Coturnix japonica: one gene and its partner. The main gene of each other region encodes a partner of the protein of the gene in region 2 in a complex. Links are inferred from orthologs where the notes say so. Each region holds a gene or a part of one and is shown on either strand. Other genes may lie near its edges.

Region 1 (4,436 bases), on a different chromosome or scaffold from region 2:
ATCACACAGATCGTGGGCCCTTAATAATTGATCCCTGTAACCGTGAGACAGTCCCAACCGGCACTGGCCCCACGCTGTGCCGTGCTGCAGGGCTCTGTCCCACTGGGGACAGTCCTGGGGGGTCGGCAGAGCCCCTGGGGAGGGTTGTAGCCATGTGGTGTGGGTGCACTTGGTACGTGCCCAACCTTTAATTGCCATTTCCCTGTTATCAGGGCAGGTTAATCCACTCTGGTGAGTGCCGGCTGGCAGCCAGGGAGTGCTGTGCCAGATGGCCACGACCCCGCGCTGCTGCCTGCTTTGGGACCAGCTGCTGGGGACCTGCGGGTGGCCAAGCTGCAGTAGGATGGGAGTCACAAGCTGCCCATGGCAGTGCTGGGAACACCCCAAACCCCCCCCAGTGGTGCTGCAGAGCCCGGCACGCACCCACCCGATGTACGTGCAGATCCCACGGCACCCCAGGATTGAATTTCACAGCTGTAACAAAGCCTCCTCCGAGGCACAGGGCGAGCAGTAAATAATTCAGGGGCCACCTCGGCAGGGGAAGGCAGCTGGCAGCAGATTAACCCCAACAGGAACGTGAAACTCAGTGTGAAAGGGTTGCTGCCAAGGGAGCTCTGCAGGAGACGACACAGGGCTGTGAGGGAACAGGGCCTGGGGTGGGAAGGGTTAACTTATCTGGGCACGGGGCAGCACAGGTGCCCCCAATGGTGCAGGAGACAAAGGGCAGCGCAGCCTTACTTGGGGAGCTGCCTGCAGGTGGGGAAGTGCTGCTGGGGGCTCTGTGGGCACATGGGGAAGGTGAGAGTGGAGCTGGGGCAGCTCGAGCAGGTCTCTCGTGTCCCTGAGCCTGCCCAGCGTGGTGTGGCAGGGAGGCACGTCCCTGTGCCCCCCCAGCCAGGGCCCCTGTTATTTATAGACCCTCTGCCCACCGTGGGAAATGAGATTAGCGCCGTGTAATCGCATCGCGAGCCCGGGGCGGCTCAGCACGGGGTGCCGCGCTGCATCCCAGGCACACGGGAAGGGCTGCACCGGGGGGTGAGGGCACCGTGCGGGGCCGTGGCGATGCGCAGCCGTGGGGTCCGGCCCTGCGCTCCTGGAGGCAGCGGGAAAGGTCGCCTCTCCTCCTCGGGCAGCCAAATCCATTTACATAATGGAGGTGGACAAAGGCGGCTGTGTTATCGCCCCGTGCCACGAGCGCTGGGAACAAACCCGGCTCCGTGGGCAATATTTCTGTCAGCGCTCGTTGCGCTTCTCCTCGCTCTTAATCTGCGGGTGATAAAGCGCAGCTGTGCGCCCAGGTGATAACGCTGCCGCGTTGCCCTTGGAGCTGTGCAGCAGGGAATGGATGCGGCCGGCCCTCAGCGCTGGCCCCTGCCCAGCAGCCGAGGTGGGGGGAGGTGGCAGCGGGCGCCCCGCTCCCCCAAAGCTTGAATCCTCCCCGCACTGCCGAGCTCTGGACTCTGCCCCGAGCCCCCCGAGGGCAGCAGGGGCCGTTACCTTGGGCAGTGTCCTAAGAGAAGTCGCAGGGAAGCGAAATCCCCTTTGGCCGCAGCGTAGTGGACCGGCAGCGCTCCCGTGTCTGTGGCTGCCGTGGGGTCGCTGCCTCCGAAGCGGAGGAGCCACTCGATCACCTCGTGGTGACCGAATCGGGCTGCGAGATGTAGGATAGTGGCACCGGAGTTGTCTGCGTCCTGCGGGAGGGAGGGGAGACGCCATTGGGACCCGGGACAGTTCTGCACCTCCAGCGAGGGAGAGCGCGTGGGGCGGGGGGCCGAGCTGGAGGAGTGGAGGTACGGGCAGCCCCGCGGGTACGAGAGGATGGGCCTGGAAGGACGGCAGAGGATCGCGGTGCCATAAACGTGCCAGGTTCCCGTGGGCCCCAGCAGCGTTTTACCAGCCCGGCGCCGCACAAAGCCCCGCTTGTTCTGCCGCGGGGTCAGCGCTGCCCCGGCCCCGCTGCTCCCTTCGCTCCGCGGGGCACGAAGCTGAGCTGGCCTCGGGCCAGGACTGCGCCGAACCGTGCGGAACCCGTCCTTCCTTCCTGCTTAATCACCTCTGCCACCCCTCCTCCTCCTCCACGTCACATGTTGTTCCCTCTCAGCCAGCCCGGGGCAAGCTGCTTATCTGCCCCGGGGCTCGCTCTGGTTGTATAAGCCCGACAAGGTGCCGGTGCCCCCGGGTCACAGCGCCCGGACACCCACCCCAGCCTCCGTCCCCTCCTCGCGGGCCTGCGTGGCTTCGTCCCGCGTGTGGCGGATCTGCGGTCCCGAGCGCCATTCAGGCAGCTCAGCTCCCACCCCCGCACGGGTCCGGGCCGTTCTCCGTCGAGCAGCGCGGAGGCCGCGCGTGTCTGTCCGCTCCCGGCAGAATCTGTGCGTGACCTTGACGCCGTGGACAGACCCTTCACGCGGACCCACGCGGCCGAAACGCTGCTTCCCCCGCCGGACCCCGACTGTGGAGCCCCGGCTCCGCGATCGCCCTTCGGGGCGCCGATCTCCGCTCTGCCCCGCGGCTCAGGGGACCCCCGCTGCCCCTCGGCACGGGCTTCTGCCCCGCTGGGGACCGCGGTAGCTGAGCGGGCGGCTCCGCTCTGGCCCGAGCTTCGCAGCGAACCGTGGCGGTCTCCGGGCCGCGTCGAAACGCCTCCGGGCTCTCCGGTGCCCCGCCGGGATCCTCCCCGGGGCCGGAGGTGCCGCAGGGGCGGGGGCAGCCGTCCCGCCCCCCCGGCCCCGCCGCCCGTCCCGCGCTCCCTCCGAGCCCGCCCCGTCGAGCCCCGCGCCCCCTCCCCGGCCCGCGGCCGCTCGCACCTGCACGCCGCAGCCCCCCTGCGTGAGCAGCCACTGGAGACAGGCGAGGTTGCCGGTGGCGGCGGCGTCGTGGGCCGGCGTGGCCCCGTTGCGAGCCCGCGCGTCGCCGCGGAGGGCGGCCTCGGCCGCCAGGTACCGGAGACAGGCGAGGCGGCCGGCGCGGGCGGCGTGATGAGCGGGAGAGGCTCCGAGCGCGTCCCGCAGCCCCGGCCGGAGCAGCCCCGCCGCCCGCAGCCCCCGCAGCGCCTCCACGTCTCCCTGCCGCGCCGCCTGCAGCGCCCGTTCCAGCGCCATGGCCCCGGCCCCGGACCGGCCGCGCCGGGCCGTCCGGCCGCCGCTTGGCACTGCGCGGCGCTCCCGCGGAGCCTCGGCCCGGCCCCACCGGCTCCTCCTCCTCCCCCGGGTCCGGCCCGCCCCGCCGCCCCCCCACCCCCGCCCACGCCGCCCCGCGCCGCGTTGCCCCTACGGGAGCCCGGCCGTCGGGGTACGGCGAACCACCCGCCGCCCCGTGCCCGTTCCCTTGGCGCAGAGCCGCCTCGCTCGGGGCTCGGGGGCCGCCGGTACCCCTGAGACTTCGCGGCATCCTGGGATGAGACCCACGGAGACACATGGCACAGGCTGAACTGCTCCGAGTGCCCTGAGCGGGGCTGCGGGGCTCCGCGCTTCTGTGCGGGGTGCTGCGGGATTCGGGCGGCCTGCGGGAACCGGGAACGGCCGCCGTGCCCCTCAGCAGCCTTTGGTGCAGCACCTGCGGCAGGTGCGTTTCAGCCCCGGTTTGAAGCCCTCGGGACCAGAAAGTTGCTTTCAGATTTTCAGTGCGCGTAACGGGAGTCACGAGTCCGGGTCCGCGCTTCTGCTGAAGGAAAGAGGCGTCAACGGGACCGGGACCTGCCCGTCACTGCCCGGGGGGGGGCGTGGGGTGTCCGCAGGGTGAGGACCCCGCTGTGCCCCCGCTCCCGGCGGTCCCCACTCGTTCTGCAGCGCTCCTTTCTCCCAGCAACGGCAGCGGGGGCGGGAGCCGGTGGGACCGACGGCGCTCACCGGGAAAGGGCCGAGACCCCCCGCCCCGCCCGGCCCCGCTCCGTCAGCACCGCGGACAGCGGCGGCGGCGGCAGCACGGCGGACAGCGGCGGGGCCGGGCCACCCTCCGCCCGCCCCTCTGCCCTGCCGGCCCCCCTACCTGCACGCCCTGCCCCCCTACCTGCACGCCCTGCCCCCTTACCTGCCCACCCGCCCGTCCCTGCCCCACCACCCCGCTCTCCTTTCCGCACGGGGCCCGGAGGCGGGGCGGCCCGGCGGCTCATAAAGGCGTTGGCGGTTCCGGAGCGCGATGTCCCCGCCGAGCTGCGCAAGGTGAGCTCCGGTCTGCACGAGAACCAGCTCCGTGATGCCGGGCCGCCCCCACGGCCTCTTCTCCTCAAGTCCCTCCTGGAGAAACGCCGCCGTGTCCGCATCGACGAGAGCCTCAACCAGCTCAAAACGCTCATCCTGCCGCTCGTCTGCAAGGCTGTGAGTGCCGCGGCCCGGCCCTGCGTCCCGTCCCTGCCTTCCCTCAGCCCGCCCCGTCCATCCCCCCTTCCCGGTGCCCGTTGCCCACCACCGCCCCTCATAGAGCTCCCGCTGCTTCAA
Region 2 (3,806 bases):
CCAGTATTTAAGATACCAGTCAGAATTCTGTACACTGAGTACACTTCCTGTAAAAATGACAAAAAGCACTCTCAAGGAATCCAATTAAATATGTACATCAAACTTAGTTTATGAAAGAAAAAGGTGAGCATCAGATGGTGATAAAAGTTTGTAGATTGTCCTAAGACCAAGTTCTAATTAAAGGAAAATCCTATTTACACAGAAAAAGGATCCTATAGAAATGTAAATGGACTTGCCTAACTACAAACTGAGACCTCTGACTGGTCCTGGCTTCCATGTGTGTGGTTTTACTTTCATAATTCATTTCTGTTATAAGAGATTCTGCGGCATGCTGTGTATTCATGCAGCCAAGTGGCAGCCTAAGCACAAGCAGCACTGGAGGCTGTTTTCTGTAAGGTCAGTAATGGTTTAGCAACTGGATATCTTACCTCATCAGTGAATCCTATAATTCTAAAGCAATGCTGAATTGCTTCAAATTGTCTTCCATAGGAATCCTTAGTAACAATGTCATGCATTACTCTTCCAGTTTCATTATCAATGTATCTAAACAGAGTGAAAGAAAGCACTAAGTAGGTGATAAGTACAACCAACAGTGACTATAATGTAACTACATCCAGAGAAACAAAATGAAATGTTTATTATTAAAATAATTTAAATTTAAATTTTGAATTTTTTAAAAAATTAAATATTTAAGACATTTTTGTTTCTGTTGCAGTCACTTTTGCTAATTCTTTGTTAATAATCTGTTCATAGTGTTACTAACATTTTACCTACGTGCTCTCACCCAATGTAGAATCATATAGATCAGTTCCTCTCTAGGTACAAATACCAACTAAAAGCACAACTTAAAAACATATTTGGAGCACAGAGTGACTGTCTTGATCTGAATGTATGACAAAATACATATATAGTAATGAGAATATTTCTTCTTTCTCCTTAAATGGTTCCAGGTTTTAATGTAAATACTGTAATTCATTATTGTCCACCATTTATTTATTTATTATTTCCTTAAGGGATACAGAAGGATTATGACAGACTCAAGTCTGTCTTCAAAGACATCGTGCTGAAAGCAAGAGCTGATCAATAGATAATTAGAATCAGTGGTTAAAACATGTGACTGATAGTTACCTAGGAGGCTTTTTTTCAGGAAGCCTATATTCAGAAAGTTTCTTCTGATGATAAAGGCCAGCATAAATATAATAAAATATATGGAAATTTTTCTCTCCCCTAGAAACAACAAAGCACGTCTGTAAAGCACATGTGTTTATACTTGCAGTATCTTGTACAAGGTAAAAGGAAAAGTCTTTATCACAATCTCATTGAGACATGGAGCAAATGATCAGGGCCAATAATAGTGGAAGACCAAAGATAACTATTTCAGCTGTAAAACAGAAAATCCAGATAACCACATTATTTCTCAAAAGAAAATAGAATAGATCTGGCTTTTGTTCCAAAAGAACCAAACTATTCTTGTCATTAATGTTACTGTACAAAGGATTATTGCTTCAGCAGGACACACTATTGGAAGCACTTAAATAAGAGTTTTTAGAGAATTAAACAGTAAATAACATTACAAAAATGAGAAAGGACAGATGATTAGTGAACGTACACAGCCTGTTTTATAACCCTTGACTTTTCAAGTAGATACTCAGAAATCTTTGCACCCATTACAGCTCCTGTGGGTGTAAACATCATTTCCAGATATTTTCCAAAGCGACTTGAGTTGTCATTGATGGCAGTGCAGGCATTCCCAAATGCTTCAACCAGAGGATTCACCTGAAGAATTTTCTCACGCAAAGCACGGTTATTGGCCTTGACAGAACAAATATAAATCAGAATGACCATTATAAGAATATATTGCCTACTCACAATCCAATTTCTGCTTAAGAAGTATAGTATCCCATTATCTCATTCTTACAGAGTTAGATACTCCATTAACCTTCCCATCTATACAGTAAGGCCATACGCTGAAGGGAAAATCACCTACAGGTAAGGAAAATCATATTTTTCCTTCTTTGCAATTGTTTTATCTCTAAAGCTTCATATAATTTAATTAAGGCAACTAAGCCACCTGAAAAAAAAGAATATTACCTAAGACAACAATCATACTAATACATATATTTGTTAAACTTACACACATGATTTTCACACTATTTTGTAGTAGTAGCGTTACTCATTAACATTTAAAAACATAAGAGCTTCCAAGATCAGAGCCAAAGCAAGACCTGTTATATTTTATTGTACAGATTAACAATGTTATAGATTATTAACACTGCAGATAACTACAGGCACTGATCATTTGGAATTTGTCACTTTGTCCTACACTGAAATAGCTTGGTGCAGGTAATACTCTAATGGCAATGATTCAGTGCTTATAAATACTCTTCCCCTGCCTCAAGTGGATTAATTAACAAGAACAATTTTTAATATTAAACATTTAATAAAGGAGAAGTGCTAGGGAGTGGGGAGAATTCATTGTTTTACATTATTGCTAGAAATACCTTTCCCAAGAAGGTCAAATGCTGGACGATCAAATGGGCACTTTCTGTCTTTCCAGCGCCACTTTCCCCACTGATGATAATGCACTGAACATACAAACAAAGCAGTAAGTGTACAGTTCAACAACATAACAGAACATAAGCTACATCTGTAGCAAAGTGGCACTATGATTAATGTGAAATCTAAAACAAAATTAATAGTTTTACCTGATCTTTGCTGAACGTCACCATACTTTGGTAGGCAGCATCTGCAGAGGCAAATATGTGAGGGGGATTGGATGAGCGCTTCATACCATGGTAAAGCTTGGAGAACTGGATTAAGAAAAAAACACAACAGTAAAAATACAGAAGTGAACTCTACAGTTAAGATCTGAAAAGAAGAATAGTGAGTATCTTCTGCCTGCTAACCCACATGGTAGGTATTTGTCTGTTCTATTGCAAAATTCTGACTGAAGAGTGGTAATTCTTGGCACTGGCAATTTTGAAATGCTTTTCAGTATTTCTTTTACAGCATGGTGAGAAGACCTGTATCACAATAACAGAATTCCAAACCGTTTAGGCAGGAAAATTTTACCAAAGAAACTGCAAAGAAAAAAGTGAAGCTGGAATCTGGTTCCTCTGCCTGCAGCCCCGAGTTAGATACCCAAGGAGACTAAGATTTATGGCTCCACCACTCTTCATATTCATAGAGAATTAAGTTGTCTCTATTTTTACACCATTGAATTCACTTTTTTTTTTTTTTTTTTTTTTTTAAGCCACAACTGATGGCACAGGACATGTAAGAACCAGTCAGAGCAATTGTTTAGAAAGCAACAAACTCAGCGTGAGGCAGATCGTATAACTATCTTCTGTTTCCCAGAAGAAAGCCCTAAATGCCAGACAAGAGGAACAGCTGTGGCTGGGGCAATCTTAGCACTTCTGTGGAATTTGTGTCACCAAGCAGAAAGCAATTAAATCAAACTAGACTAAAGTGAAAGTAAAAATAGAAAACAATTTGTAGACACAGTTTTTTGGAAGAATAAAAGACTGAGGTTTAAACTGCACTCCCATCATGTGAGTATTTTAGCCAGTAGCACTAATACAAAATATAAAGCAAGTACTGTACACACCTTCAAGTCTATCTTACCTGTGGAGAGTAAATGCTGAGATTCTGGAAAGGGTTTAAGGCTATCAAAATATCTCCAACATATGTATAAATTTGTAAGTCAGCATAGCGTTTCTGCAGCTGATGAATAATTGTATCCTGAGAAGATTAGAAAAAATTTGATTGTTAAGCATTATTTTCCCAGTCAATAAGATTCTGTAAAT

What was found.
Region 1: the proteins of MYO3B (region 2) and ESPN are in contact, whole or in part, in a crystal structure (PDB 5ET1), measured with the Mus musculus proteins. The link is inferred for Coturnix japonica from reciprocal best matches to the Homo sapiens genes MYO3B and ESPN. Residues at the interface, in XP_017174528.1 of Mus musculus: Arg1223, Arg1224, Gln1226, Gln1227, Pro1228, Lys1229, Met1230, Leu1231, Ser1232, Ser1233, Asp1236, Thr1237, Met1238, Tyr1239, Tyr1240, Asn1241, Gln1242, Leu1243; in NP_997570.1 of Mus musculus: Leu35, Ala37, His41, Arg45, Ala67, Asn69, Ala71, His75, Asp76, Ala79, Thr80, Asp101, Ser103, Leu110, Arg113, Phe114, Thr135, Thr137, Ala139, His143, Tyr144, Ala147, Thr169, Asn171, Tyr177, Leu178, Gln181, Ala203, Asp205, Met207.

What each region holds. Positions count from the first base shown.
Region 1 is NC_029536.1:489,013-493,448, forward strand, and holds the start of ESPN (espin), read right to left. Parts: upstream 3,102-4,436; coding exon 2,808-3,101; intron 1,692-2,807; coding exon 1,498-1,691; intron 1-1,497. Other genes in the region: HES2 (transcription factor HES-2), read left to right, coding at 3,100-3,148, 3,670-4,316, 4,420-4,436. UniProt on the Homo sapiens protein: Multifunctional actin-bundling protein. Plays a major role in regulating the organization, dimension, dynamics and signaling capacities of the actin filament-rich microvilli in the mechanosensory and chemosensory cells.
Region 2 is NC_029522.1:16,467,615-16,471,420, reverse strand, and holds part of MYO3B (myosin-IIIb), read right to left. Parts: intron 3,742-3,806; coding exon 3,625-3,741; intron 2,811-3,624; coding exon 2,706-2,810; intron 2,586-2,705; coding exon 2,502-2,585; intron 1,813-2,501; coding exon 1,610-1,812; intron 1,228-1,609; coding exon 1,129-1,227; intron 544-1,128; coding exon 429-543; intron 48-428; coding exon 1-47.